2 linked regions of the Drosophila melanogaster genome follow. The protein of the gene in region 2 interacts with the protein of the main gene of each other region in a pairwise test. Each region holds a gene or a part of one and is shown on either strand. Other genes may lie near its edges.

Region 1 (3,749 bases), on a different chromosome or scaffold from region 2:
CATTCCCCTCTGGTGATAAATTTTTTGGGGAGTCCTATATACTCCAGCCAAGCTAATTACGCAGTTTCTGAAAAATGTTAACGTAAACACATTGGGTTGGCCATTTCAAGGTCCAGACCTCAACATAATAGAAAACCTCTGGTCATATATGTATAAAGAAAAGGCGTGCAAACATATCTAGGAGTCGCGAAGAAACGATTTTGGAAATTCAAGCCTTATGGAAGTATATTTCAATAGATTATAACCACAGTTTGGTACACTCTGTACCAAAACGTCTCCAAAAGTTGATAGACGCTAAGAGAGGGTATATTTTTTATTAATTTGTTATAATTTTTTTGTTGATTTTTTTCTTTTAAATTTATGACATTTAAATAATCCATATGATTATTTTACTACATATATACATATACATATACATATAAATACATATATATGTATATGTATATTCTACATATATACGAAAATTATTAAACAATTTCCCATTAAGTAAACAATGAGTTATAAACAAATATATTGAATGTATTTATTGTCTAAATACTTATGCCCACTTTTGTTGTGTCGACAGCAGCCAACTCCTTTTGATTTCATAACAGCAAAATCGAATTCTGTAGCCTTTTATAATTTAAGGCCGCAGCACTAACAGCCCTCTATCTCGGTCATTTCTATGCAATGCATGTTTTTAAGTCCACTCTTCGCTTCTTGATCGCTAAGCATTATTGTCAGCGAACTTTTTTGTATTGTTGTCGTCGCTAGTCTAAGCGCTAATTAACTAGAAATAAAATTTATAACGTTTCAAAAGTAAATAAAAAACAATTAGTTTCAAGAAGTCACCTCGCGAAATTTGTCATGGTGTGCAATACCTAGTCCATTTCCATTTTTGAGGATCATTTATTTGACTAGCTGGATCATTTATTGACTGGATCATTTATTCCACTGGAACGCCGTCAATAAAAATGTGTTTTTGGGGATATACATATATTCAGCTACTCTGTCTGCCGTGGAAGTAGGATGAGACGTCCCTGGTTATCAATGTTAAGGCGGAACGGAGACAGCATTTCTTGGGTGTCACGCAGGATACTGGGGTCCTGCTTAGTGGCGTGATTGAATCCATAAAAGATTAGCAGGCATATGGTTGCCAGGGAGAAGGCAAAGGCGCTTTGACTGGACAGGATTTGGAAAACCACCGACTCGCTTTCCTTGGCATCCCGAACCCAATGACAGGCACTGATCGCCGAGCAGGCGAAGATGGCGCCCAGAACAAAGCGCCAGCGGAGTGAACTCCGTTTCTCAGTGTTTACCACCTCAGCCAGCCGACGCTCGAAAGCCAGCAGGTCTTCCTGATCTGTGTCCTCCATTCTGTTGCTAAAGGAGTTGACTCTAATGCGGTCCCCTGGGCGCTGCAATGCTGATTGCCCCGTTAATTACTATTTTACGAACAGCAGCAAGGCCGCATCATTTGCAGAATTTTTACTGACACGATAATAATTTTTTTCGGTAAAGACGAAATCTGTTTGAAAAAAAAGACAAAGTAATAATGATATGATTTTCAAGAAACGAGTGCTGTGATGGTTTCTATGCTTTCACTTTTACTTCCTTGTAAAAAGTACATACATTGAGATTGTAAAATATCCACTATTTTGCCTATAATGTAATGCATTATCCCACCACATTTAAAATAAATGTTTATATTGTTATATTTCGTTTAGATCACCATAGTAGTAAACAAAGAAACTAGAATGTATGCGTAGAAATGAAACGTTCGCTGTACAGCTTTCCGCTCTCTCGCTCTTGAACAAAAATTCGAGAGACCCTGGAGCCACCTCTAGAGCCACGCCAAAAAAAAAATCGTATGGCGTTACGCATTTTGTTATTGTAGTGTCTTTGTTGTAACTCTCTCCGTCCGTATGAACGTCGAAATTTTGGGAACTATAAAAGCTACAAAGTTAAGATTAATCCTGCAGATTCTAGTTATGCCTAAGATTGTTGATTTGATTGAGTGTTTCACATTGAAAAATTTTATTTTTATAGAGCCATCACGCGAGTGCATATAATTTGGCTTGGAATGTTTTTCAAAAACATAGAAATACATTGCATTGCACGACGGAATTCTAACCATTTTATACCCGTTACTCGTAAAGAAAAAGGATATACTAGATTCGTTGAAAGTATGTAACAGGCAAAAGGAAGCGTTTCTGACTATCAATTTCTCAATTTCTATATAGTAATAATGTTGACATTTGCCTAGTTTCTGAAACCTGGTTAAAAACATCTTACAACACGTTAAAATACGCAACTATAGCTGTTATTGAAACGATCGAACAGTCAAAAGAGGGGGAGGGGTTGCAATATACATGTATATAAACAAGTATTCGCCATTTCCTGCTACCTATTGGCGTAAATATTTTTAATATAGTTGGCACTCAGACATTTATTTAGTCTTGTTACTTTCCATGAGGTCAAGTAAATCCTCAGAAAAATCAACTCTTTTTGTCCGACATTCGCCAATTAAGCAGCGCAAATGTGCCTTATATTGTAGGAGGTGACCTAAATTGCCGACACCAGTCTTGGGGATGTCGCCGGGCAAACTCGTGGGGTAACCTGCTAAAATCCAAAGTTGACAGCAACAACTTTTAAATACTGTATCCCCTTGACCACACCTATATGCCTGCAGGAAAGCACGGTCAACCATGTACTCTAAACTTTTTCCTAACAAATCGCCCACAATATCTTATAACTCCGCGAGTAATAAACACTCTCAGTTCAGATTATTTACCTGTTCTCCTAGAAGTTACTAATGACTAGCCACTTACTAATATCTTCGTTTGCTTTGACATAAAGAAAGCCAATTCCTTTGCAAATTTCAGCCTTTTAAGCTAGTTAATTTTTAAAAATATACCTGATTAGCAGTGTCCTGTTCCTTTAAACGTCGACGAAATGTCCACTCACTGATTGCCTTACGTTCACTTTTCGGAAGGCTGGAGGTCAGATTCCACTGCGTTGCAACGGCCTGTTCTTGTTTAGGTTTAAGTCATTATGTTTCTTAAACTTTTTAATTTGATAATACACAGCTTGTCGCGACACATTAAACTCATTTGCAATGTTTTTTACTTTAATTCCAACGTTAAACTGTGCAACCATTGATCTAATAAATAAACTTAACTTAGCCTTTTTACCCATGGCTATCAATTAATTTTTTGTTTTTTATTAAAGTTCAATATCCAAAAAAGTTCAATTTAAACAATTGTTGATTAACACGTGCTCAAAAGCAGAACACCATTTACTAAATGAGTTTGTCAAAATATAATGCCAAACAAAAAATTATCATGTTTCATTAAGTTGTTTATAACTTTTTAAGTTTAATTAAAAACACAAAAAAATACAAAATAATCAATACTACCATATCAAACCATTTAAAAGTTTCACTGACAAATGTGCAGCGTTTATTTTGTCCAAATACTTATGCGGACTAGTGTATATTGGAGGAAAGTTAAATATCAATATCCTAACTTCAAAGCGAACAGTCGTGTTTTTTTTTTTTTGTGCTTCGATTTTTATTTTGTGTTTGTCAAACCAGCCGCGGTTTTTAATAATCTTCTTTATTTATCATATATTGTAAACATAATTATTAAAGATCCGTTCGCTTCGCGAGTGATTCTTTGTGTTTTGTGCAGTAGTTTAAACAAATATACAAAGTATTTTGCATTTTTCTTCTTTTTGTTTTGTTTACTCTCCCTTTTGTGCGTTGTTCG
Region 2 (4,164 bases):
ATATTTGAAAAATTTGTAAAACAAACAAGTATCCTAATCCAGAGGAATTGGGTCGGAAAATACAAAATTGCGCTTTGAATTATGTTGCATTAGCGGTATAGGCTCCGAGAAGTAGAATGTTCGCATAACTGGTTTCGTAGGCGATTTCTTCTTATATGTGGTTTCTGGCATTTGTGTTTCCTCCACCTCTTTAATGATTCCTATCCGGGACTCATTCTGTATATTCCGGTATTTGCTATACGTAATTTCTTTCCTATTTAAAAGAGCGTACAGACGACGGCGTTTCATGATCTTCGACTCTAAGGACTCCGAATAAGTTGGCGGTTCCATCTTTTTGTTGATTTCAGAAGCAAGTATTCTGCTGCACTTAAAATTGTTCCAAACGCGAGTAATAGCCGCACTACCGCCAAAGGACGTGGGTCCCTGGTAAAACGGCGAGCTTAACGTGAAAAGTTGCTTAGTCCCAGAGAATGTTGGATGTGCTGACTCGTTACGTAAGTCGCTACTAGTGGCGTCGCTCATACCCTTCTGAGAAAAATCAAAATCTTTCGACATCATGCCTGCTTACTTTCAGAAGGAAAATAATACGAAAATGATTAGTCTATATGAAAAAGATTCAAAGTTTTCCAAAAAAATATACCTTCCGGAGTTTGATATGTTTCAGCTTGCAATAATACAATCACTAAGACTTGTCTTAGATTTCGAAGCCTACTATGGAAATCACCACAAAACAAGAGAGAATGCTATAGAAGATTTTTTTTGGCAAATGGATAGAAATTTACAACACTAATACAATTTTTAAAAAATATGCAACAATTTTTAAAAATGTGGTCGCGGCACATTTAGGCGGTTTAGGGCGTTAGAGTGTGTGTGGCAAAAATTTTTTTCTGCAAATCGATAAAAATTTACAAGACAAATAAAAACGTAAAAAAATACCAAAACATTTTTCAAAAGTGTGGGCGTGGCTTACTCTACGAGTAACGGGTATAAAAGTCAGTATGGCAACCACCTGCAGTGTTACCCATATTTATCGTGTAAAATTATTCATAGAAACAAAGCGTCTTGGCATTAAATGTCACTTCAAATAATAAAGAAACGGAAAATCATGAATATTTTGATTATGTACTATTTATATTTCGGTAAAAGACGTAAATTGCATAATGAAACATTATCATTGTGATTAAAATCCTCTTATCTTATCACTCATTCAAAAATTGAGATGTGCTGCAATGTGAGTCGCCAATACAGTTGCGTCGTTATAGGAGTGCTGGCCCTTATTGTAGCGTCCTTAGATCTAGGATACCGAACTCATCTGCTAGGTAAAATAGTGCCATATTATGCATTTATATATTAGTTAATTTCGTAGCCACATATGGTTTGAATCGTTGGATACTGGCATCTGTGATTGCCTGGTTGCTCATAATCATGGCCGCAGTTGTTCTGATTGTAGGCGCAATAAAGGCAAGTAATTATTAAAGAAACGAAAAGAAATGTAAATTTTTCTAATTGTAGAAAATAACTACTCTTCTGCTGATTTGGATAATAATCGTACTGATTGTCGGAATTGCTCAAATTTTTATAAAAATTGTGTTATTCACTCCAGCCAAAAACATTCATCCAAGTGACGCATACTATATTCTTGCAGGCGGCTTTATAATACTTCTAATACGTAATTTAACAATTCAAATTTTCTTTTTAGCAATATTTTTACGACAATTTTTTTCCAGTGTTGGTATTTTGTTCCGCATACTACCCTTATGCATACAAACGTGAACTTGAAGAAGAGGAATACGAATAAATTAAATTTTCAATATCAACGTGTCTTTTATGAAACCACATTTGAAATCTACGATTTTCATTTTAGCAAAACTCTTGAGCCACTTTTAATTACTACCATTTTCATTTTTGTAAAATTCTTAGTAACAAATGACATAAGTTTCTGAATATTTCATAACTCTATTTTTGGGTTAACTAACATGTTAGTTGACTTGTATATCAAAACCTGTGTTAAATATCAATGAAAACCAAAGTAATTTGGACTTAAATGTCAAATAATTCTGTAGATATTCTGTATAAATGCTTTTTACATAAAATTTATATTTCTCTTTCCCTTGCAAAATTCATAATGGTGAAAAATAATAACATTCCATCGCATCCTGTAATTTTCGGATTTATAAATTTTGGAATTATTATCTACAGAACCGATTGAGATGTGCTGCAATGCCAACCGCCAGCTATTATGTATCTTTACCGGAGCATTGGCGATACTGATATCAACTTTATGTTTAGGATTCATGCTTTACCGGCTAGGTAAAGTAAGGTTTATAAAAAATATACTATTATAACAATGTTTTTAGGCACGACTGGTATAAACCATTGGGAGGAGGCGTACCTGGTAGCCTGGGCTGTCATTATTTTAGCAGCGGTACCTCTAATTGTAGGAGCAATAAAAGCAAGTAAGCGCGAAGTAATAAATATCCAATATTACCCATGTCCTGTTTTAGGAAATTCGCTATCTTTTGGTGATTTGGATAGTAGTCGCTTTAATAAGCGGCATTTCTCTGATAGTTATTCAAATAGAAATGTTTCATAGCTTTTTTCATAAGGATCCTGATACAGCCTTTCATATTCTCGGTGGTATAGTCATTATAGTTTTCGTATGTATGTTAACGTAGTTGTATTATAATTTTCATTTTAATAATAAAAAATTTAATTTTTCAGTATTGCTCTGCTGTTTTCTATACTTCCCATATACGTATGCGCGTGAGCTGGAAGGAGATTAATACGGATAAAACGGATAAAAAATATCCAGTGTCTTGGACTTAAATTTCAAACAAAATTATCAGTTTGAAACCATTTTTTTTTTTTTGTATATTTTTAGTTGCTTAAATCAAATGTTGTTTCCTGTGGATATATGGGAAATACTTTAAAATTGGAAAAATAAAACTACAATGTGCTTGAATGCGAACCAAAAGCCTTGTTGCGTGATAATTGCCTTGGTTGCGATTTTTGTCGGAACTATAGAGACATCTTACGAGTGCTTTCATTTAGGTAAGAATTATTCTACTATAAAGCTACCAAAATAATATCTGCATTATATTTAGCCTTGCATGGTATGAACAATTGGTTAGTGGCAGCATTGATCGCATGGATTCCCATTTTTATTGCTGCAATTTTTCTGATTATTGGTGCACTTAGGGTAAGTATTCGCTAGTAAAGACAATCTATGTTTAATTTAAGATACAAATGTTTTCTCAAGGAAATACCTATTCTTCTGCTTATCTGGGTAATAGTGTCACTGATTTGCGGAGGTGCTTTGATAATTATAAAGATCGGATTGATGATATACCTGAATAGGCTTCGTATATATCTAGATATTGTGGTCGCCATTTTGAATGTAATATTTTTAAGTTAGTCAATTGGAACTAAAATTTTCGCTAGTATATGAATAATACGACCAATTTTTTTTCAGTGCTGGTCTTCGTTTGGGCGGCCTATCCTTATGCATACATGCGTGAACTGAAGGAGCAGCAAATGATTTGAAATTATCACTTGGGCGTAGATGATGGAAATATCATAAATAATGGCAGTGCTGAAATTATTAAGAAATATTACTGAGCCCATTTATAAAAACTTCTTTATATTATGTAATTTCCAAAAAGGGGGAATTTTGGTTATATATTTTTAACAATGATCAATAAACGTTAAGCCACGTTTGTCTGTCCGCTTTTACTAAAAATCAACATACAGACTGTGCGATATTCCGACTCTGTTGCATGACTTCAGTTTTTTTTATTAAACAAATAGCAGCCAGTGACCAGGGGATGCGAATTTGCATAAAATAACAGAGGCAATAACAATGGGTGACAACAAATCAAATGCAAATGGTAAACCGACCGCAAATAGAAAGTGAAAATCAAATACAAAACGCTACCGTTTATTTCTGTGCTTTCGTATCTCGGCACTTTCTGGCCGATTTTTGGGTCTTTTGTGTTTATTTGTCGGGCGACTAATTTAAATAAACATTTGTTTGCACAAAGGCTTTAATACGTTTGGCAAATGACTTCCTGAATTGTGTGCTGCATATACCAGGGTACCAGCCCAACTGTTGGCTACTCGGATTGCATAATCAGTGAGACAAATGCCGTGGATTATGAAATCCTT

The links.
Region 1: the proteins of CG42690 (region 2) and Cnep1r1 interact in a two-hybrid assay, tested with the Drosophila melanogaster proteins (one large-scale study listed by BioGRID).

What each region holds. Positions count from the first base shown.
Region 1 is NC_004354.4:22,943,091-22,946,839, reverse strand, and holds Cnep1r1 (CTD nuclear envelope phosphatase 1 regulatory subunit 1), read right to left. Parts: upstream 1,520-3,749; 5' UTR 1,356-1,519; coding exon 984-1,355; 3' UTR 832-983; intron 770-831; 3' UTR 501-769; downstream 1-500.
Region 2 is NT_033778.4:19,943,727-19,947,890, reverse strand, and holds CG42690 (uncharacterized protein), read left to right. Parts: upstream 1-2,013; 5' UTR 2,014-2,210; coding exon 2,211-2,310; intron 2,311-2,357; coding exon 2,358-2,452; intron 2,453-2,504; coding exon 2,505-2,661; intron 2,662-2,721; coding exon 2,722-2,783; 3' UTR 2,784-2,951; coding exon of another isoform or gene 2,952-3,051; intron 3,052-3,104; coding exon of another isoform or gene 3,105-3,199; intron 3,200-3,259; coding exon of another isoform or gene 3,260-3,410; intron 3,411-3,472; coding exon of another isoform or gene 3,473-3,543; 3' UTR 3,544-3,628; downstream 3,629-4,164. Other genes in the region: CG30447 (uncharacterized protein), read right to left, coding at 34-558; CG42691 (uncharacterized protein), read left to right, coding at 1,220-1,319, 1,367-1,461, 1,513-1,669, 1,728-1,798; CG43195 (uncharacterized protein), read left to right, coding at 2,952-3,051, 3,105-3,199, 3,260-3,410, 3,473-3,543.